Linked DNA regions of Rhinolophus ferrumequinum. The protein of the gene in region 1 interacts with the protein of each later gene in a pairwise test. Links are inferred from orthologs where the notes say so. Each region holds a gene or a part of one and is shown in the gene's direction. Other genes may lie near its edges.

Region 1 (7,798 bases):
TGAATATGGACAAGGTATAGAAAGCTAATATTGTGAAATGTGATATTTTAGCTATGTAAGAAAATGTTCTTAAATGATAAGTGATACATACTTACACATTTGGAGGTGAAGTGTCATGATATCTACAATTTATTTCAAAATATCTCATCTTAAAAAAGAATAAAATGGATTAAAGAACTATACCAATTGACGTGCTGTCAGTTTGTGTTAATGGAAATCCACTGGGTCTTCCACTAGAGTGAAGCTGCATTAGCAGGGGGCATGGTGCTTAAGAGGCAGGTCTCAAGGGCCAGAGTGCCTTGATTAGAAGTTCAGTTACACCAATTATTAATCATGTGACCTTAACTTCTCTGTGCAATGGTTGCCTCATCTATAAAACTACCTACGGAGTATTTGTGAGGATTAAATTAGTACATGTAAATACACATAGTATTCAACTTATAGGTAATAATAAATGGCAACTGTTATCATTAGTTGAAATATATAAATTGTAGTGCTAATATTTTTAGTCCTTTATTCTTTAAGGCAATAACTGAAATTCCATCTTTTATTAATAAAGCCATCTTTCCTGCAGAAATTTCAATATTATTTCTTGAAAGTGTATTTCATTATCACAAGCTAACAACATGGTTAATAAGACAGACAAAAAACAAAATACTTCTTTGTCTTTCAATCCACCACTAAATGGTTTTTCACGCTCCTCTATCACCTGCATGAATGGTTTTTCATGCTCCTCTATCAGCTCTGGCTATGACCTTAAAATGGTGAAAGAAGACTAAGGCCAACAGAGGAGTTGGCCATCAAACAAAGCAACTAGCTGCTCATGATCAACAGCTTTCCCCTTACTCAGCAATTCCACATTATAAATAAACAGTAATCAGTGCAATATAAAATGTGTTCCAATTAATCAAGCCTGATAGTCCAATGAGAATTATGGCACTTTATGGCATGGGAAAAGCCTACACTACAGCATTAGGCAACTCAATCTCTCCAAGCACTACTGATACTACAGTATCGTGGATTCCATAATAATGTGAGAGGATGACTGAAGCTTAGATGAGGTAGCACAAAACACATAGGACTGAGCTCAGTGAAATTCTCTTTTCCCCTTCCCTGGTATTAGTGATGCTTACCCATGTTTGCTACAAAAGCGTATCTGCAGAGTCTATGTCTAATTTAAAACAACTCTACTTTGTAGTAGAATACAATATACGGAGGTCATACATACCTTCAGCATTTATACTGAGTTCTGTTGAATTTTCTTCTGACGTTGCATATGGATTGTTTCCAACCATTGGCACAAGACAATCAGTATAGAAGTAACCAATCTTACACATATTCAGTGTAGAAATAATCAGATCTATTGCAAGTTGGCCAACATTTCCAACGGATACTGCTGGCTGAAATCATTTTAAAGAGTGTTTATTAAGGCATTGGCATTAGCAGCACTTTAAAGTTTGGACAGAAGACAATAATCACAGCACTAGTATTGAATGTTATGTTCAGGCGCATCATAGCTACCCTGTTTTCCTGAAAATAAGACCTAGCCGGACAATCAGCTCTAATGCGTCTTTCAGAGCAAAAATACAGTAGTACCTTGGTTTTCAAACACTGACGAACATTTCGGTTTATGAACGCCGTAAACCCAGAAGCAAATGCTTCAGTTTTTGAACATGCCTTGAAAGTTGAACATGTCACGCAGCTTCCGCTGAGTGCAACATCCTGAGGCCTAGCTGTTGGCTGTTTTCGAACGTTTCAGAACTCCAACGGTCTTCCAGAGCGATCACATTCAAAAACCGAGGTACCGCTGTATGAGATCCGGTACCTCGGATCTCATATCCTATCATATCATATCCTATCATATCATATCTGGTCTTATATTATAGTAAAATAAGGCCAGGTTTTATATCAATTTTTGCTCCAAAAGACACGTTAGAGCTGATTGTCCAGTTAGATCTTATTTTCAGGGAAACATGGTACATATTGACTCTCCTGTAGTTGCAAGCAAGGTACCAGCAGGGACCTCCTCCACCTTTGAGACTACAGATTTAACACTTACTGAACACCTACTATATGTCAATCGTTGCTCTAGGCACTGGGAATGTAAATCAAAAGTTCCTGCCTTTGTAAAGCTTCCATTCTAGGGAGAGTAGTTTACCTGCAGTAAACAAACAAACAAAAAAAAACCCCAGTAAAATATACAGTGTTAAGTGCAGTGGAGAAAAATTAAAGGACTGTCAGTGTGTGTGTATATGTTTGGCTGCAATTTTAAATAGGGTGGTCAAGAAAAGAATTGCTTTATAGACCTGAAAGAGATAAAGGAGGGCAGTGAGGTAGGAACAAAAGTGATGTTGGGGCCTCTTTCTGTTTGCTTTATTAGCGCCTAAATGTTGGAGTGAGCTTATTTTCACACTAAAAACACCACACACACACACACACACACCCCATGACTTCAAATAGTCCAACTGCCAAATCTGTAGCTACAGCCTGGAATACTCATCTAAACTCCAGAGCCTAATGTGTATCTCCACATGATTATGTCACAGGTAACTCACATCCAACATGTACAAAATTAAACTTTTGCCCAAAATTGTCCTCATATTTTGTATTTCAGAAAAGAGAAACAATTATTGAGCCAATTACCTAAACCAGGACACTTTTTCCTTTTCCTTTACCAACCATACCTAACGCACATCTAAATTTTATTGATTCTATTTTTTTTTCCTGGCCTTTGCATACTTTTCTGCGTCCTTCAGAGTGGTCTCCCACTTCTCATTGCTGTCATTGATTGCTGGTTATCCACTGTAATCCCCTTTCCCTTCTCAACGATTTTGCTACTTTCGTTAGATCCTCACTTTCCTGTATCATCTATCTTTTCCTCACTACTGGATTCTTCCCATCAGCATATACACATACTCTAATATCTTTCCTTGTAAAAAACCGTCTCTTGATCCCACACACTCCCCTAGCTACCACCTCACTTCCAGGTGTCCTTCCATAGCCAAAATTCCCCACGGTTGTCCACTAAAACATAAGCAGGAACTTTAGCTCTGAATTAATGAACAAATATATACGTATACACGTCTCCACCTCTTCCCCATTTATTCAACCCACTTTAATATGCTTCCCTCTTCACTGTTCCACTGATAACTTTTTTAAGGTTACCACCAATAATCTTTTAGACATTACTTTCTCTATGAAGCTTTTCTTTTTCATTTTTTTCTCCAGGTAGCTCCTGCAAAGGTACTTTTTCCATTTTGAGATTAATAAATATTTTTCAGGGAGATACTGTGAAATTATGGAAAATTCCCTTCCTCAAACACTATCGCACACTAATTTTGGCATTCATTGATATTTCATGCATTACAATGAAAACGGACCAAAAGTCATTTTTCTATTACCATCATTCTTTTTTGACATATAACACTGTATCACTTTTAGATACATAACATGATTGATATATGTATATACTGTGAAATGATTACCACAATAAGTTTAGTTAATATCCATCACCACAGTTACAATTTCTTATTGTGATAAAAACTTTTAATATCTACTCTCTTAGCAAACTGAAGGTTTGTACCTTTTGACTACTTCACCCATTTCACCCAACCACCCTTCCACTCTACCTCTCCAATTGTTCTCTGTAATCTATGAGTTTGGTGTTTTTTTCTTTCTTTCTATTTTTTTTTTTCTTTCTTTCTATTTTTTTTTTTTTTAAGATTCCACATATGACGCTTTGAACAGAGCCATGTGTCCCTCCCCCAATAAGTCCTAAGGCCTTTCTGTATCTTTTTAAAACTTCTATCCTAGCATATATTGCCTTTATTGATTTACGTGTTTCCTATTAGACTGTAAACTCTTTGAGAACATGGGCCTAGTGTTATTCTAATATCGTCACATCATAGAATGTTTATTGAAACAATGAATTAATATGGACAATTTTAAGAGCGATAGAACCATATGTTAGCTACTGGCAAAAGTTGCCTTGTTACTCTATTGTAATGTTCTGGTTAATGACTGACTTGCTAGCTTAAGAATGACGCTAAAACTAGTTGAAAAAAGATTTTCTAGTATAAAAAGCAAAGAGAACGTCCCGCACCACATATGTACAACGTATCGGTAACATCAAACACATTACGTTGTACAGTCAACAAAGACCACAAACTGGAGACTTAGATACAAGGTTTGGTGATAGCGCCAACAAAGGTTCTATTTGGACCGCCGCCTCCAGCGACAACCTCTCTACATTTTCGGCGCAGGCTTAAAACTCGAAATAGAAACAAGTACTCGCTTTCTCACAGGGCCGGACGAAAAATCCCGAGTTGGGGTGGCGGTACCGCAGGCGCCTCCCGAGAGGTAGCAGCCTCAAGCCAGTTCGCGAAATTGGAGACTCACCATCAGGAGGGTGAAACCCGCGAGATCCGGGACCGACTCTCCGTAGGGAACAAACATGGTCGCACTGCAGTGGGAAGAAGGAGATGAGTGCCGGCCTGGGAAGAACCGGGGCGGCGAGAAAGCGAGAACCACGAGCTCTCAAGGTCTGCACGCTCGAGCCCCTAGAACCCCGCGCGACCCGGGCAGGGCGGGGCCAGGCGGACTGGGTCCTTCGAGCCCTCGGCGCGAGGTCCTGAGAGGCTCGTCCACGTATCTGCCGTTCCAGAAAACAGAAAGGGACCTCGAGGGAGGGAGAAATGGGAGCGGAGAGCGCGCATCCAGAGACACTAGCAAGGCAAGGAGTTTGGCTGAGCTGAGGTCACGAGGTGGGGACCCCGAGGGAAGAGGAGTGGGTGGAGTTGACCAGGCAGAGCGGGGGACAGCTCCGAGGCCTGGTTGTCCGCTGCCGTTTGAAAACGACAGTTGGGCGCCGCCGCAGCCACGTCCCCGCCTCACGCTCAGCGCCGGGCTTGATGCGGCGTCGCGCCCCCGCGGGAGCTGCGCGAGGAAAGTGGTCGCGCCGGCTCTGTGCTCACCCCACACTGACGTTCTGGGGCCGGCTGGGGCACCTGAAGCGAAGGGAATCCGTGTTGAGGCGCCAGCCCCAGCATGTCGCTGCCTCCGGAGAAAGCCTCTGAGCTGAAGCAGCTTATCCACCAGCAGCTGAGCAAGGTGAGGGGCCGCGGGCGCTCTTCCCGCCAGTGGCCCCAAGTGTCCAGCTTTGTGTCCCTTGTCCCGGCCGACTGTGGCACCTGTTTGCTGGGGACTCAAGCAAAGGCTGTGAGACGCAGAGCGTGGGATGTGCAAAGCTTCGGGTTTGAAGCCAGAGGAACTGTCTAGGCTCGATAATGAGAACGAGCTCAGAAAGTGCTAGTAAGAGTCTGAGGTGATAGAACGGCGTTAGTATTATGGGACAGTTGTGAAAATGAAGCGTGTACCAATGACTTCTGGAAGTCATATCGAGTATAAGTTGTGTTTGGAGCAGGTTTATATTCAAAGGTCAGAAATTAGAATTAATTTAAGGGTGGAACTTCAGGTGTCATTGATATTGAACCAAATTGACAATTCTTAAAGAAGTTATGAAAGAATTTAGTAAGGATTTGTAATGAAAGCATTTGTGATACTTCAGAGCTCAAGAAGAACATTGTATCTTTGAGGTGCTCAACTGAATGCAATTAAGCTGAAGTAATAAAACCTACCGTTTATTGTGCACTCGGATGCCAGGCTTTGTACTAAGTGTTTAGCGTCTTTTATCTGAGCCTCACAATAACCTTGACGGCACTATTTTTTCCAGATTCATAAAAGGTAAATAAGTTAACTCAAGATCACATCTAATAAGTTGTAAGGTGAAAGTCATACTTTGATCCCCTCCCCTCGGTCTGTGTTCTTTTGATTATACTATACTCTTTCTCCAAAGATTGTTTTGGTTGAATGTTATTTGTGGGGAAATAGTAACAAAAGTAGTAGATAACCAGTAGAGATTATTTCTAGAATTTGTAGTATAAGTTTTCATTTAAAAAAATTTTTTTTCCTTTTAAAAATCTCGCCTTTATTATCTTTGAATTCTGGTAACAATTTTACATTTATTATTTGTTTGAGAAGCCTTCCCGATTTTAGTGTACTCTCCTATTATTCTTTTCTTTGTCAGTATTTTAGAAAGAAATGAACTAAGTGGCAATATTTGTCTGCTTTGTAATGTGAATTGTAATGTGAGTTTTCTACGTAGATGGATGTCCATGGCAGAATAAGAGAAATCCTTGCTGAGACAATACGGGAAGAATTAGCACCTGATCAACAACAGTTATCAACAGAAGATTTGATCAAAGCTCTTAGACGTCGTGGAATCATTGACGATGTGATGAAAGAACTTAATTTTGTTACTGTGAGTAAGCTTGTAGAGGAGAAAATCTGAGAGTCTAAGCATATTTTGGGGCCTCTTCTTTTAGTAAAACCACTTCAAAATATGGTAGCTTTGCCTAGTAATATCCTTGTTTCAAGTATAAACTAATTCTACAATTGAATGTAGATTCAATGTAGGATTATGTATCAATGAAATTGTACATATATACCATTCTTCTCTCTCTACAGTGACAGAATTTTCTCCTGTTATTCTCTAAGTCTGTAACTTTAAGTATATATATTTTAGTCAAACATAACCTAGTTGTTTTTCACTAATATTCTATAATTTTAAAAATTAGGCTTATTTTTAAAATAAACACTCGGGACAATATTATCTATGATTAAGAAATTATCAATTCCTTTAAGAAAATAATTGTCTGCATAAGAATCTTTAAAGCTTTTCAGACAAATAGGTCAGTAATGGAATGATAGCCTCCCTCTCAGTGTACAAATTAGTAAGTAGGCCTTTTGAAAATGAGGCAATAATGAGAAATTGTGACCTCAATACCTGGGAAATATAATGTAGAATTTGGATGGACTTCATAGTACACCAGGGGATAAGTATTTTAATACAGCCTCGTTTTTTTGGTTTTTGAGGTTTGTAAACCCATTTGGTATAAAAATTGACCTAATAACAGTTTCTGCTGTGTGTGAATATCACTTCCTTATTAAAATCAGTTCATGGTACAATCATAAGCCAAATGTTATATGAGGTTTAGAGAAAGTTTGACCTTGTTTGAGGTATTAAGGATTTTTTTTTAGCATTCTGTGGACATTGCTTGAAGACAGTTTAGTTCCTTAACATTAAACTGTAGGACTGACTAGTTGCATCACCTTTTTTGCAGGCTTTTCATTATTTGAACTGTTTGAGGAAAATAAGGGGCTTTATTCTATCTTCTTTTGGTTTGGTTCTTAGTTCCATTATTGGCATTTCTTAATTATAATTTTTGTTTTCTGATTTGTATTTTTCTGCCTTTCTAGGACAGTGTTGATCAAGAACTTCCTTCCTCTCCAAAACAATCAGTTTGTTTTACTGATAAACAATCAACGTTGTTAAAAAAAAGTATGTGTATTTCTTTTTAACCTTAATTTACTTGTGGATAGTACTGTGAATAGACGTGCTGTAGTGTTTGGTATTTGATAGAAAACACTTCAATTTTTTTTTCCAGAATGAAATACTTATATTTTTGTGACTAATCCAAAAAGCTTCAATTCTGTTTTGCATGATATCAGAAGATTTAATGTATAGCAAAGTGGAAGCAAAAATAGGACCGCCTGTTTCTCATGTTTTAGTAATATATTTTATAAAAATTTTACAACTGTGTTTTTTTAGTGGCTATGTAATTATCTCACAAGTACACTTTGCTGAGTTGAGATAATTGAGTTGGTTTGTGGAGGTGAAGGAATGGATAGTTGGATAGCAACTAAAGAGCAAAGTTATCCTAAACCTTGGCTCTGACTC
Region 2 (7,424 bases), on another chromosome or scaffold:
GTAAGCACTCCTCCATGCTGCCTGTGCACAATCATGCCTATTTGTTAGGCCCAGTGAATTCTTGGCAATATATTAGGCACTTGATACATATTTGACCGTTAGAAACATTTCAGCATTTGTGATGATTTAAGAAATAGAACCATGAACAATTAGAATGTACCAAGTGAATAATAAATCCAAAGCGAGGGCTTTGGGGGAGGAGATGCCTTTTACACTACTACTTAATTTTCCTGTAGATCAATCTGATATACTACTTTAAAAAGCCATAAAAATTAAACAAGTTTCTCTTAATTTGGTAAATTTACTTTTGATGTATGCATCAAGAAAATAACACCAAAAAAAAAGAAAAAGAATCCCAGTATATGTGTAAGTATATTTGACTGGAAAGGTAAACATAACCAAAAGGACCAAGATCTAGGGACAGTTTAAGTAATGATGGTATAATACAACAAAACATAATATACTGTAAATTATGTTATATATAACAATAGCTATTTGAAAAAATATTAAATAGAAGTGACATAAACTGTTGTTTATTTATATATAGAAATTATGTCTAATAAAATACACTATGTTTCTACAAAGTGATGAAGATTGAAAGAGTCAGAGGATCTTGGGAAGTTGATATCTAATGATGAAGGAATTTTTGCATTTTGTTATAATTATTTTGGCTTTCTTTCATTTTATAGCTAGATCAATAGACAATGAAAGATACTCTGAATTTAAACTACAGAATATTAGGCAAAGAGCTGTTAAGTAGCGAATGTATTCACATTGATAACTGTAAGGAAATTCTTTACTGTGTAAGGGAGAATAGACTCAAATTTCCTTTAATTCTGATTCTATTCCTTTCCGAAACTTTTCAACTTTTGCTGTTTTTTTTCCATTTCTTTTGTCACCGGATTCTTACATTACTCAAAGAAAACCTCATATTGTAATTATCAGTTATACTCTGATTGGCATGCAAACAAGGGTAGTCTTGCCAGTGAAGTCTTGTGTGATATTGTTTGAAATATCAAATATCAATTACAGAACTAAAAACCAAGGAATACTTAAGTCAAATACACAATAATACGAAATTTGAAAAGACGTGAAATCTACTAACCCAGATATTAATACCCTATTAATATATGTGGGTCAGTATTCTCCCTGAATGAAAGAATTATGACATGCATTTAAAATGGACAATAAGAAATTTAACGACAACTTGCATCAATATTTTCTAGCACATTGAGGACAATGAAACCAACAAATTATAATATACAGCCCTGATAACTCAGAAAGTGGAATTTCACATAGCTCTTAATACTTCTCTTTTAGTATTCAAAAAATCTGACAAGAGAGTAACAAAACAACGAACCATTAATATAGAATGGTCTATTGGAAAGTATAATGATAGCTTACATGATGTATATGATACAAAAACTAACGAAGGAAACATACGGTTTTGAGCTTAGGAATCTTGTAAGATAAACTATCAAATGAAAAACTAATCCCCAGGACTAATCAAATTCAGGAAGCCTAATTAGAGTTGTTAAACCTAAATCTTTCAATTTGGCATTTGCCCAAAACGCGGTAAGGAGCACTAACTACTTCAGTGTGTAAAAACAGAGATTATCTCAAAACAGTTTAAGAACACCGTTATCTTCTGAGTAATGATACAAACTAGCATATACCTCATTATAAGTTGATCCTTTGTTTGAAGAAAAATAATCATGCTCTTTATGAAAATGTTCTTACTGTGATTATTTCTTATTCTTACTCAGAATGGAAGAAACGTAGTAAGTATGTAATAATTCAGGCAGCTGATGAAGTGCACAAGAAAAAAAATGATTCAGATTGTCATCACAAAGATGGTGAAAGTGTTCGCTAATTCATAGTTGCCTAATTTTCTACATCCACACATTTTCCCTGGGCAACCTCATCCAAACCCATAGTTTCAATGATCTATGACCTATTTTGTACATCTATAAAATCTTCGAATCACCAAGATTCTTCCCTCAGTGTCTTCTTCTCCCAGCAAATGACTTCACCTGTTTTCCTCAAGAATACTGACACCTTTATAAAGTAGCTGTCTTAACCAAGACCCCATCCAAACACTTATCAGGATCCATCTATTCCAACTTGCTTCCCTCCTGTCTCTCCTAAGATCAATGCCTTCATCTTTAACTTTATACTCCCAATATTACTCAATCGGTTTTTGTCTTTTACTGTATGTCTCTCTTTGATAGTTCCTTTCCTGCTCCCTGCTGCCTATAAATCTTTCGTTTTGTACAGCTCCTCAGAGCTCCTTTCTATCTGCCAGATTGGATGCCGATCAATTCATGAATCATTTAATAAACCCAATAAGATGTTTAAAATTTACTCAGTTGAATTTTGTTTTTTAAAACTTTCAATCCACTCACCTTGGCAGGGTACATTGTCCTCCTGGGAGAAATAGTGCTGTTGTGTGTAACGGAACATGCTATCTCAATGAATTCTGTCACTCTTAGAAGTCCAAATAATCTGTGACATCACCCACCCTGCCCTAGCCCTTAGGCAGAATGTAATCCACTGGGGAGGAATTGGTCTTCTAGTTTGCAAGAGTTGTTATCCTGAGGACTGAGAGGATCCATCATGGCCAAGTAATCCACCAATCAGCTGATGTCTGAAGAGGGCAGCAGACTTCCTGGAAAGGAGACTGGACCAGGGGAGCTCAAAGACTGGGGATAGTGACAACCTGGAATGATTCATTAGTAATGTCAGATACCATTTGGAACCCCACATGTATTTTGGGGGGATTTCACAAGGGTCTGGAGCTCTGGCATGAGCAAGTAGATTTATCTATAAAATTTAGATATTAATGTTAATATCACCTAATTCTTCGCTTCAGGCTGGTGAAGCTTTAGGACGTTATCATGTTTCTCCGAAAATAAGACATAGCTGGACAATCAGCAATAATGCGTCTTTTGGAGGAAAAATTAATACACAAAAAAATATAAGACTGCGTCTTATTTTACTATAAGATTGGGTATAATATAAAATAATACTGAGTCTTATATTAATTTTTGCTCCAAAAGACGCATTAGAGCTGATTGTCCGGCTAGGTCTTATTTTTGGGGAAACATGGTAAGATTACTCACGATATTATTTCTTTTTTAAAAAACTTGTTTGGGTGTATTGCTTTCTTTTTATTTCTTTTTGACAAATCTGTACTTTTGACATATCTGATACTTATGAGAGTTTTATTCATTTAACAACTCTTCACTGAGTAACCTCTAATCACTTGGGAATATGAAGATGTTAAAACAGTCTCTGCTTTCAGATAGTGACTAGGAAATACATGGTAAGTATTGTTTAGCAAGGTTTGATATACAGATAAGTTATGGAAATTTGTCACCTTTACAAAGGGAAATTTATGGCCTGCTTTTAGGCCAAAAGGGGAAGGCAGAGCATTCTGTTTCTGCTGTTTCTCAATTGCCTTCAACTCAAAATAATCCTTATGTAGAAGTGGCGTGTTTTGGGGGGCATATTCTGATCCCTTTCGATATTAATGTGGATTACTTTTTGCAGCTTTTAGTTTATTATTTATTGCAGTTATTTATGTTTCTTTCTCTATTAGGTGATCAATTCCTTGAGAAAAAGACCTCTCTTATTCACCTGCTCAACCTCAGGAGGGAGCTCAGGCATTAAATAATTAAGGGAATCTATTGTACCTCTCTAATCAGTCCATAATTGCTATGGGTGTGCAAATCAAATACTCAACTTGCTAGAATTATTTTAATGTGAGAGTAACAAGCTTTATGACTTCTTGTGTATGAATATTGTGGTTGTGCTGCCGTCTTTGCCTCCATTTGCATTCTAGGATGCATTCAAGATAAGCCAAGCGTCATTATTCAAAAATAGAGGCTAGATTAATTTGAGTAATGCACCCACCTAATTTTCTTAGTGCATGGTTTCTTTGTACTTAAAAGAAAAATTCAGTAGATTTCTGTTCCAAGGTCAAAAGGTTTTTTTTTTAAAAAAAATAATTAAATTGCTTTTTATTCCATTTCATTCACAACCAGTGCTTTCATTTGCAATAACTAGTAGCTGGTTCCATTTAAGCTGTAGGCATGAAACCACTGTTAAAAATGTGTGACTGCTGCAATTTGACTTAAAAATTAAAAAGCAAAATAAATATCTAACTACAAATGACCAAGGTGTCGTTCCTGTACTACTCGCTCTTTCCAAATATTTTGAAAGCAGAACTCTGTGTTTTGAAAGCTCTCTGCAAAACTAAACACAAAGATCCCCAGGAGATCCTAGGCCAGGAAATGCTTTCAGCTGGGTCCCAATCTCACCCTTCAAGGCTTGGGACTGGAAACGCGGAGCCACGGGAAATAACTGAGGGCAGCCAAGGCCTCAGGGGGCCGCCCCGCTGCAGGGCGGAGGCGGGAACCGAGCACTGTGGGGCGGAGAGGAGCCCTCGCTCTCCACGGCGCCGGGGTCACGGCTCCCCACCCCTCTCCACTCCTTCGCGCAGCCCGAATCCGGATACCAGCGGCGTTTCGGGGCGGCCCCTTCCGCTCGTCCTAGGCGCCGGGCCTGGACATGCAGCTCCAGCGGGGACTGCGGCTTCTGCGGCTCGGGGCCTACGCGGGTCCAGGCGCCACGAACGGAGCCGCAGCCGTCGGCCGCGTCCTTCGGCCCCGCGCGCTGCTCGTCGGATCCCGGCCCCGCCCCGGCCTCCGCCTCCGCCTCCGCCTGGCGCCCCGCCCCTGGCCGCTGCGCGGGGCTGCCGCCTCCGCTGCCAGCCGAGACCTGTCACCCGCTAGCGCCAGAACCATGGAGCACCCCGGAGCGGGTGAGCGGGGGCTGCGGAGCGGGCCGGGTGGGGAGACAGGAGCCGGGGGGCGTGCGTCTTGCTCAGCTCCCGGCTTCTGGGAGGGCTCCTGCCGGCGTTCCCAGCGCGGGGAACGCGACCCCTCGCCCGCCCCCAAGTCTCTTTTTCCATCTTAACGGATCTCACCTTTGCACCGAAGAACCCAGTGCAACCGGGTGTGATCAGTGCACGCACTGTTGTTGCGACGGGAAGAGGGGTGTGAACCCAGCCTAAGTTTCAGTTTTAATTCTCGCTTTCTGATCTTGTGACCCTTAGCACAGACTTCAGGTCAGCGCACGACCTCCGACGGTGTGTGGTCATCAAAACCCAGGAAAGCTCTATTTTTTTTCCTATGTCACAAACATTGTAGACCTGACACTTTTCGTTTAGGATTTCATTCTAGGTGTAGAAATAACCTTACTAATCTGGCGCCAAATCCGTAGTAGGGCCCAGAATTAATTTACAACTTAGATCAGCATTTACTGTGAACTGAACTTTGCACAGAGCGTGTTAGGAGATGGACTTTCGGTGAAAGGGACCGAAAGCTAATCAGAGAAAAAGTGCTCTTCTTTGTGGTCTTTATAGTATAAACGCAAAACAAAAAACAAAAACTAGAAAAAGTATTAAAATGTTCAATTGTAGTATATTGAACCCTGTTTCCCCAAAAATAAGATCCAGTTGGATAATCAGCTCTAATGCATCTTTTGGAGCAAAAATTAATATAAGTCCCAGTCTTATATAAGACCCGGTAGTATATTATATTGTATTGTATTATTATATTGTTATACCCAGTGTTATTTTACTATATATTATATAAGAGCCGGTCTTATTTTACTATAATTTTTGTTTCAAAAGACGCATTAGAACTGATGGTCCTGCTAGGTCTTATTTTCGGGGAAACACAGTAGGAGCTGTTAGTGCAGATACGTTTACCGTTATCATGGGGATGAAATGATAAGGCGTTCTGGGTGGGTTCAGAGGATTTGAGTTTTTGAGATACCGGTAGCATATCTGGGTCTTTTCCTTATTCATATTAACAAACCTTAAGATGTTTTTCCAGATTACTGTTTCCTTACATTTGTTTTCAAATATTAACTTATTTTGTCCATTTCTCTCTTAATTTGGATTATACTTTGTTTTCTTTTTATGATGAGGAAACTAAAGCATGGGGTTTAAGCAACTTGTTGATTATCACACAGCTCTCCGCATTTACCCAGATGTAAGATGCTACTATTTTTAGTCAGTAAGCCAGGTCTAGCATGGATGGTATTGACCCTTTCTATTGATTCCGAAGGACTATATATACCTAGTAGAGTGAAGAGTCTTCCTTATTTTACTATCCAAACAGGAAACTTGCATTTTGTGTGACAAAGAGCAAACCATCTATCCTTTTTTCCTCTATTGGCCTGTCTACGATGAAGTCCTTTGCTGGAGTGCATTTATATTTGAATATTAGTGTATACTTAATGTATAGTTTTATAATATATTTTAAATGTATGCATTAATTGTTTTCTTATAAAAGTAATATTAGTTCTATTTAAAACATTTGAATAGTGGAAAGTGGAAACATGCAAATATACTGAATACAGCTATGTCAGCATTTAGAAATAATTTATATCTTTTAGGCTTTTCCTATGTAATTGTAATCATAGAGTATATGCAGTATTATCTTTGCTTTTTAAAAAGCTAATATTACAAACTATTTTGTTGTTGTTGCAGTCTGCATAGCCATTATTATTTGTTGTCATTAGAGTGAGTATGCTTTGTGTAACCATTTCCCTATTTAGGCATTTAAGCTGTTCCACTTTTTCTTTTTTCTTTAAATAAAGCTGTGTTGAGTCTATGTTGACATATGTGATAGATACCCAGATATATCAGTGAGAAGAACATTTTCATGGCTCCTGATCTTTTGCCACACTGCCTTCTGAAAGGGTTACCTCAATTTACAGCGCTATAAACTGTGTATGTTAAGAGGCAGTAGGGCATGTTGCTTGAAAGAACAGGTTTTGGTGGTAGAGCAACTGGATTTAAATGCTAGCCCCAAGACCTAGCTGTAGCCTTGGGCAAGTTACTTAAGTGGCTAGTCTGTAAAATCAGTAAAATAATAGTACATCCCTGATAGCATGGTTGTGTGGATTAAATGAGTTACTATTTGTAAAGTGCTGCTGGCTGTGCCTAGTATGTAGTACATGCTCAAATGTTAGCTGCTGTTAGTAGTAGTAGTAGTAGTTTGCCAATTTCACCTCATCTTTGTTATTAGTGCACTTAACAGCATTACTTTTATTTGGATTTGTACAAAAGAATTTTATTTTATTTTAACTATGGTTAGACCAGAATTTAAGTACTCAAAACAGTCAACTTATCGTATAAAGGCTTTATTTTAGGGTCAGTTATTTTAGGCAGTTTTCCAAAAGGAAAATATTTATACCGTCTGTAAGAGAACGTGTAGTTGTGATGGATGTGTTTGATTCATGTCTGTTAGCCTTTGCCCAAACACTAAAGCTTAGGGAATTGGAGGAAGGCTTCTAGATTTGAACCCTGTTGAGAAACATTGCTCTCTCTATAGGATGACCCGCAGTTC
Region 3 (7,018 bases), on another chromosome or scaffold:
ATTTTAAAGAAAATCCTTTTGTGGCAAAAACTTAAAATAGGTTTTGACCAAACTGTGGACACTGTCTTTTAAAAATATCTCCTTAAAGTTTCTGGGAATGGAGGCCAGCTATAAGGGAGAGCTGTGTGCCTAGTGGGGTAGATCTCTCTCTCTCTCTCTGTTCTGGAAGTGGGGGCAGCTCCCACGAAGGGAAAGAAAGAGTGGAAAGGCGGACTCCTCCCTTTAGAAAACAACAGAATCAGAGAAGTCTGAGAAGTAACGGAGAGTCTGAGAAGTCAGAGAATCAGAGAAGTAACGGCAGTGCCCCGGAAGAGCTCCTGGGTCGCGCTCATCTCCGTTGGGGTCTCCCCCGCTCCCTTGCCTGTGGTGTGTGCACAGCCTGTTTGCAAACTGTGTGAAGGTTACCTTGGCAGCCACAACAATTAGCACTAATGACATGCCTGAGCTCCCTGGGGCAGGCACCACTGAAATTAGTTGGGAGCCAGGGCAGGCTTGTAAATGATTGCCTGGCAGAAGCCTTGGAAGCTTGTTTCTCTCTGTGTGCTTCTCTTGGCTTCATTCTTGAAGAAGCAGAAGAGACCGGAAGATGGCAGCGGTAGTAGTGTACTCTAGCTGTCAATTTATATTAAAAAGTCAGCCAGAATTTTGTTTAAAAATCGGCTATTTGGTATATTTTGTGGAAGTTATCTTTGACAGATTATAGGTGGGCAGGTTTCAGAACCATAAAGTCTCCAGGAATTGCTTCACAGTGGGATGACTGCCTTGAGAGGTGGTGGACACCCCATCACTGGGAATATGCAAAGCTAGGATGGTAGATGGGCTTCCTCTCTTGGCTATAGGATTGCCCTAGGTAGAAACGATCTCTTCACCCATGAAGTGATTTTGGAATGCTAGCATAAATATCGTTCTTTTGGCTCCCATTAACTTATGACCTTGGTCTAGGATTGGGAAGTTTCCTGGACCCCATTGAAACATTTAGGGGTGGCTAACACAGCTTCAGATTTCCTAATGACAGTGAGTCATTTCTGCCTGTGTTCCTATTCCCAGATGGGAAAAACAGTCTGCTGCTAATTCATTCTGGAGAAGGCAGGGTGTTCCTGCCCTCCTGGGTGTGTGGTTTCTAGGTAACTTGCAGCATTCTCATCTGGCTTTGTCTTCTGCCCTTCCTAATCTGGTTACAAGCTGCTGAGTTGAGTCTGCTGAGATACAAGGAGAATTGAAGGCCTCCAGCTCTGATCCTGTTGTGATTTGCTCTAAACTCTCTCAGTTCGTGCAGTTTGGTCAAGAAATCTCAGGTACTGTAATTTTTATAATGGGAAATAATTTATGTATTTTCATCATGATCATTGGAAGGTAGTTTGGCATAATTCAAAAGCTTTGGAGTCAGAATTTGATTTGAATCTTGGTTTCATACGTAGTAGCTGAGTGACTTGGGGAAGGTCCCTTAGCTTTTCTGAGCCTCAATTTTTACATTTTTTTCAGATGAGGCAAATCAAAGCTACATACCCTGCTGTATGACAACTAGAAATAGTACTTTTTAAGGCTGGCACCGTGCCTGGCACATAGATACTTAATAAATGATGGCTGCTGTCATTGTCATACTCATCAAATCCCCACAGTTCTGCTCACCTTTTGATGTCAGAATGGTAGGACTCCTGAGAATCAGACCTTTGGGGTTCCAGTGGGAGACAGGAATGATACTTTTGGGGCTCAGTAAAACCTCATGAAATCAGACCCCTAATTCAGAATTCTGTATAGCTGGGACTGGGGCTGTGACCCTCGGTATTAAGAGACTGTGCTCAGTGTCAACGTGAGGGTTTTAGGGCTGCTCAGGCAGCAAGCTAGAACGCTGTGACCACAACTTGACAGCGAGTGTGGGCACCGGGGCTTCTCACTGAAAACCACCCACGAGGGCTCCTGCACTCTAAGCTTTCATTAGTGGCACATGGAATTAAGCTCTGGACATAGATGGTCAACAAATCAACCATTTTACTAAGTCTGAATGTCATTTCTCTCCCAGGAGTCCAAATGAAGGACTCCTAACTCCATTCTTATTCTATAACTTAATTCTTGCTCTTCATAGCCTCATTTCTCCAAGACCCCAAGAATGTAGAAATGTGAGGCAGATATTCTAAGATTTTGGCAATTCTGCTCAGTTCAATAGAAATCTGGGCTGCATGTAATATGCTAGGGGCTGGAGTACAACAGATGTGAATAAGCCAAGGTCTCAGCCCTTGTGGACCTCACAGAGAGAGAGGGGGAGTGGGGAAAAAGGAGACAGAAATGTCCTGTTATGGCCTCTTCTTAGTGCTCCCATAGCACCTCGTCCTTTCTGTGTACTTTTCTGTGTATTTTGTGCACTTTCTGTGTATTTTTCTGTCTTTCTGGAGAACCAACTGTGGAGCCAGACACCATCACTTACTAGTTGTGTAATTTTGGAAAGTAATTTCACCCTCTTTGTTCATCTCTCAGTTTCTTCATCCGTATACAGGGTTGTTGTGAGAATTAACTGAGATAATACATGTAAAGCCTTATAACTGTGTGTGGAGCACACAGTTCCAGAACTGTTAACTCTTTCTGTTAACAATTGCAGGAACTGTTGCCTGAATCACCGTTAATCAGGACTGTCAATCACGGTGCCTGGCACTTAGTACGGGCTTATGAATCATTTGTTGATGGGATAGACGAATGATTGCTGCACAGCTACCCCACATCAGACCAGAATATGGTGAGGGCGACTAAAGGAGTGTATGCTCTGTGCTCTGGGGAAGAGCAAGAATTATGACTGTGGGCCTGGGAGGGATTTGGGTAGCGATCATGTATGAGCAAATCCTTGAAAGCATGCATTCACCTTCAGTAGGAGCAAAAGGACATGGCGGAAGGCCCTCTGCACCAAGAGGCAGCATGGCATAGTGGCTTAGAGTTCAGACTCAGTAACCAGGCTGCATGGGTTGGATCCTGCCTCCTGTACCTGTGGACAAGCTTCTTCACTTCTTTGTGGCTTAGATAATAATAGTATCTCCTCAAGGGGGTGTTCTGAGGATTACACAAATTATTCTTTACAAAACACTTAAAAACAGTGCCTATAAATAAGTAGCCCAGACATAAGAATGGGTGGACAGCAAATAATATGGTAAGTGGAGATGCAGCTAGAAAGGTAGTTTGGAAACAGTTCATAAAGGTCTTTGAATATCTTCTTAATGATTGTGGAATTAGCTCCCGAGGAACACATTCATTCCTGTATGGCTGAAGCTCATCGGTGGCTGTCCTTTTTAAACAGGGCATGCACTCCCCTTTTGCCACCACCCCAACACTGCCTGTCCCAACACTCCCTAAAGCAGTGGTTCTGAATTAGTAAATCTGGAGAGCTGCATTTCTCACGAGGTCCCAGGTGATGCTGGTCTGCTGGTTCAGAGACCACACTTGAGAATCGCTGCCTGATTGTATTTTGGACACTAAGATGGAGAATCAGTTGCCATTTATCATCAAGCTTATACTGTGGTTTCTTTTATACCTGGCACGTTTCCTGCATCGGAATTTGGATATGTAATTCCTGGTATTATCAGTAATGGCAATTTTGGTCTACAGGTCCCAAGAGACAGATGGGCCAGTAAGAAAGATTTGGGAGTGGCTCAGGCCCAGCCTGTGGAAGCTGAAGCTGTGGTTATGTGTGAGTTAACTCCGAGGAGAGTGTGCAGGGAGAGATGCATCATGGGTGAACGGGCCAGTATCATGGGGGCACTGGCACACTCTGCCTTAAAGGAGGAGGGAAACTGTTCGAGGGAGAGGCTGGCAGGAGCATTCAAAGTGCTGGGAGGAGAGCCGAGAGAGCTGCTGATGGAGTGTTCTTAGTCAGATTATTAGAGAGAGGAGTGTGGGCAAACATCTCAGGCCAAAGCTTAAATAGTTAAACAGTGCGTTCTCAGGTGAGCTCCTGGTCTGCAGGAGGACAGGAAGCAGGTGTCCTGTTACCCTTGCCCACAGCATGCCTGGTAACCTGCTGTTGTTCCAAGACACGGCTTGTTGTGGCAATTGTTTCTGAGGCTCTGGTGACACCGTTGCAGCTTGAAGTTGAGCATGGTGAGTATCATCTCACCTGCCACCCTGCCTTTTTTTTTTTTCAATAACACACTATGTTAAGTAGAAATGTGCTGGTCTTCTCCTTATGGCCATGGGTGCTTGTGGCTGGAGAGTTTTGTTTTTGGTGTATGTGTTGGGGAAGAGTATCTAAGAAAGAATAGGAGATGAAATGGAAAAGGTGGGTCAGTGGCATCGTGTGGGCAGCCTTCCAGACCAGGCTTAGGGTTTAGACTCAGTACTGTGGCAACAAGGAGCCACACTGAGCTCCTGGGTGGGCGGGATGGTGTGTGGTTAATACACCTTGGTTGCCCCAGTGCCTGGTACTAGGCCTGGCCCAGGTAGTCATGCTGTAAATGAGAGGGGAGTGAGTGAATGAATGAGTTTGAGGGATAAGTGGTGATGATCTGATCAAAGCAAGTTTTTAGGACTAATAGCCTCAAGGATCATATTGGGGAGTTCACAGTCCACAAGCTTTGGAGCCAGATGGACCTCTAACTGTATTTCAACCCTGGCCTCCCTACCTGGGGCAAGCTACTGAACCTCTGCAGACATCAGTTTAGTTGTTTGTAAAATGGGAATGCTAAGAGCTGTTTGTAGGTTTGTATTTAGAGTTTGTAGCTGGCACAGAGGCTGGTGCTTCCTGCACCACAGCTGGTGTTATTACTGAGTGCCTTTCCCTTGTATCTCCTCCAGTTCTCACTGCACCCGGGGGACAGGTAGGGCAGGCCTATCACCGCCTTTCCCAAATGAAGACAGGGCTCAGGGAGGGCAGGCCCTTTCCTGGAGGCCCTTCCCTTCTTTGCAAACCCAGCCCCATCATTTCTTCGAGGCCTTTCTCCTTTATGAGGTCAATGACCTTTCTCTTCTCTGACTTTCTATTGCATTTAAATATCTGAATGACATGATCTAGAAAGAATTTGATTAAATAGCATCACATGTACTGTCTGTTGCTCCATGTTCTAAGTTTTTCAAGGGCAGAAATTATATCTTTTTCTTTAAAAAAAATTTAAAAGTAATTGATGAGGATACAAAGATCTTCGAATGGTATAGAGAAGTGGAAAGTGGAAGATAAAGGTCCTCCACCTCCATTCCCATTCCCAGAGGTAACTGGTAACAGCTTGTTTATTTTTCTAGACATAGTCTATGCTTATGAGGCTATATATATACATATATATATTATATATTATATATGTATATATATTATATATAATATATATATAAAATCAACTTAGTGTTTGTATTTTATTTAATTATGTATTATACATGAATAACAAATAGAATCATATATATGTGTGTGTGTGTATATATATATATATATATATATATATATATAAAATAATCATTATTGGTCTGTGTAAGGCCTGTCTATCTTTATCTATCTATCTATCTATCTATCTATCTATCTATCTATCTATCTTTCTATCTATCATCTATCTCTTTCTAGCTATCCATTTTCTACTCATGCACCATTCATTTATTCATTTATTTACTCCCATTTTCCTCCTCCCTCATAGGCAACTATTTTAATGTGATATATCTATTTAGATATAGATATCAGATATATACTGTGTTTCCCTGAAAATAAGACCTAGCCGGACAATCAGCTCTAATGCATCTTTTGCTCCAAAAGATGCATTAGAGCTGATTGTCCGGCTAGGTCTTATTTTGGGGGAAACACAACATATATATATATATATACACACACACACACACACATATGAGATATACATAGCTCCTTTATTTTCACAAGTTATCATTAATGTGATTATATTATATCATTTAAACAGAAATGAAAGTATGTTTATGAGTATATGAGTATGTATGATCAGTATTCCATGTAAAGCTGCCTTATTTTCATCAATAGCCACAAAGTATTTCATTGTATAGAGCTAACATTTATATCCCCTGTTGTACTTTGTTCTCTGCTTTCTGGTACTTTTTCTTATACTTTGCTATTACAAACAATGCTACAATGATAATTCTTGCACAAGCAGCTTTGCACACCTGTATGAGTTTATTGGTAGGATAAATTGTGATTGGGTTTGAGAAAAAAGACCATCGTGGATGGAGCCCAATCTGCGTGCAGAGACCTGGCCACTCTCTTTAGCACCACTGCTCCCCTCCCTGCGCCCTCCCCAATAGCAGTATTGGACATCATTTCACTCACATTCCACTAGAGAGAACATAGTCATATGATGACACCTTACTGTGAGGAAAACTGGGAAATGTAGCTTACCCCTGTCCCCTATGATCTTGTAGTTGCAGGAGGAGAGGAGGGAATGTTGTGAACATTAGGTGGCTGTGCCACCCATGGCAAGTTGTTGGACGTTATCCTGAGATCAATGTAGGGTTGCGGAAGGACCTACTTATACATTTGACAGTTTTCCCCTGACAAAGACCTTTGGCCGTGGACTTGGGCAAGGGGACGTTCACTGAGGACCTACAATGTGCCAGGCACTAGACGAGTGCTTCATCTGCCTCCTTGCTAACCACAAACCTGCAAAGTGAGTCCCGTGATCCCCAATGTACCTAGGAGGCTTAAAGATGTGAAGGGACTTGCCCAAGGCTGAAGATCTGAATCCACATCTGTGTTATTGTAAAGCCCACGCCCTTGCTTTCCATGGCTCTGGCCATGTCAGTGCATACCATGCATGCTCCAGCTGTTGTTCAGGTCCCTCACCTCACCCCACTCAGGCTGTTGCTGGCCAGGTGTAGGGTACATGCAGCCCACATGCCTTGCCTAATTTGGAATCTCTTCTCCTTTTCCAGGCCCTCTCTCAGTTCCTTTGCTTGCTGCCGTGGCCTTGGCGGCACCCTCCTGCAGTGGTCAGCCCAGGGCTTCCCTCACCCATGCAGTCCCCTGCTACCACTTTTGAGGGCCTCAGTGGTTCCCTTTTTGGGGCCTACACACTCCCTACCTTCAAGTTCCAGCCTCGCC

What was found.
Region 2: the proteins of CEP76 (region 1) and AKAP7 interact in a two-hybrid assay, tested with the Homo sapiens proteins (3 studies listed by BioGRID). The two-hybrid records come from large-scale screens. The link is inferred for Rhinolophus ferrumequinum from reciprocal best matches to the Homo sapiens genes CEP76 and AKAP7.
Region 3: the proteins of CEP76 (region 1) and DZIP1L interact in binary tests that used the Homo sapiens proteins (3 or more experiments, as listed by UniProt). The link is inferred for Rhinolophus ferrumequinum from reciprocal best matches to the Homo sapiens genes CEP76 and DZIP1L.

Annotation. Positions count from the first base shown.
Region 1 is NC_046302.1:5,540,073-5,547,870, forward strand, and holds the start of CEP76 (centrosomal protein of 76 kDa), read left to right. Parts: upstream 1-4,705; 5' UTR 4,706-5,046; coding exon 5,047-5,109; intron 5,110-6,163; coding exon 6,164-6,319; intron 6,320-7,002; exon of another isoform or gene 7,003-7,044; coding exon of another isoform or gene 7,045-7,077; intron 7,078-7,317; coding exon 7,318-7,399; intron 7,400-7,798. Other genes in the region: PSMG2 (proteasome assembly chaperone 2), read right to left, coding at 1,229-1,400, 4,399-4,455. UniProt on the Homo sapiens protein: Centrosomal protein involved in regulation of centriole duplication. Required to limit centriole duplication to once per cell cycle by preventing centriole reduplication.
Region 2 is NC_046286.1:78,641,151-78,648,574, forward strand, and holds the start of AKAP7 (A-kinase anchoring protein 7), read left to right. Parts: upstream 1-4,348; 5' UTR 4,349-4,572; coding exon 4,573-4,825; intron 4,826-7,424. UniProt on the Homo sapiens protein: Probably targets cAMP-dependent protein kinase (PKA) to the cellular membrane or cytoskeletal structures.
Region 3 is NC_046300.1:37,317,711-37,324,728, reverse strand, and holds the start of DZIP1L (cilium assembly protein DZIP1L), read left to right. Parts: upstream 1-4,006; 5' UTR 4,007-4,077; coding exon 4,078-4,080; intron 4,081-6,849; coding exon 6,850-7,018. UniProt on the Homo sapiens protein: Involved in primary cilium formation. Probably acts as a transition zone protein required for localization of PKD1/PC1 and PKD2/PC2 to the ciliary membrane.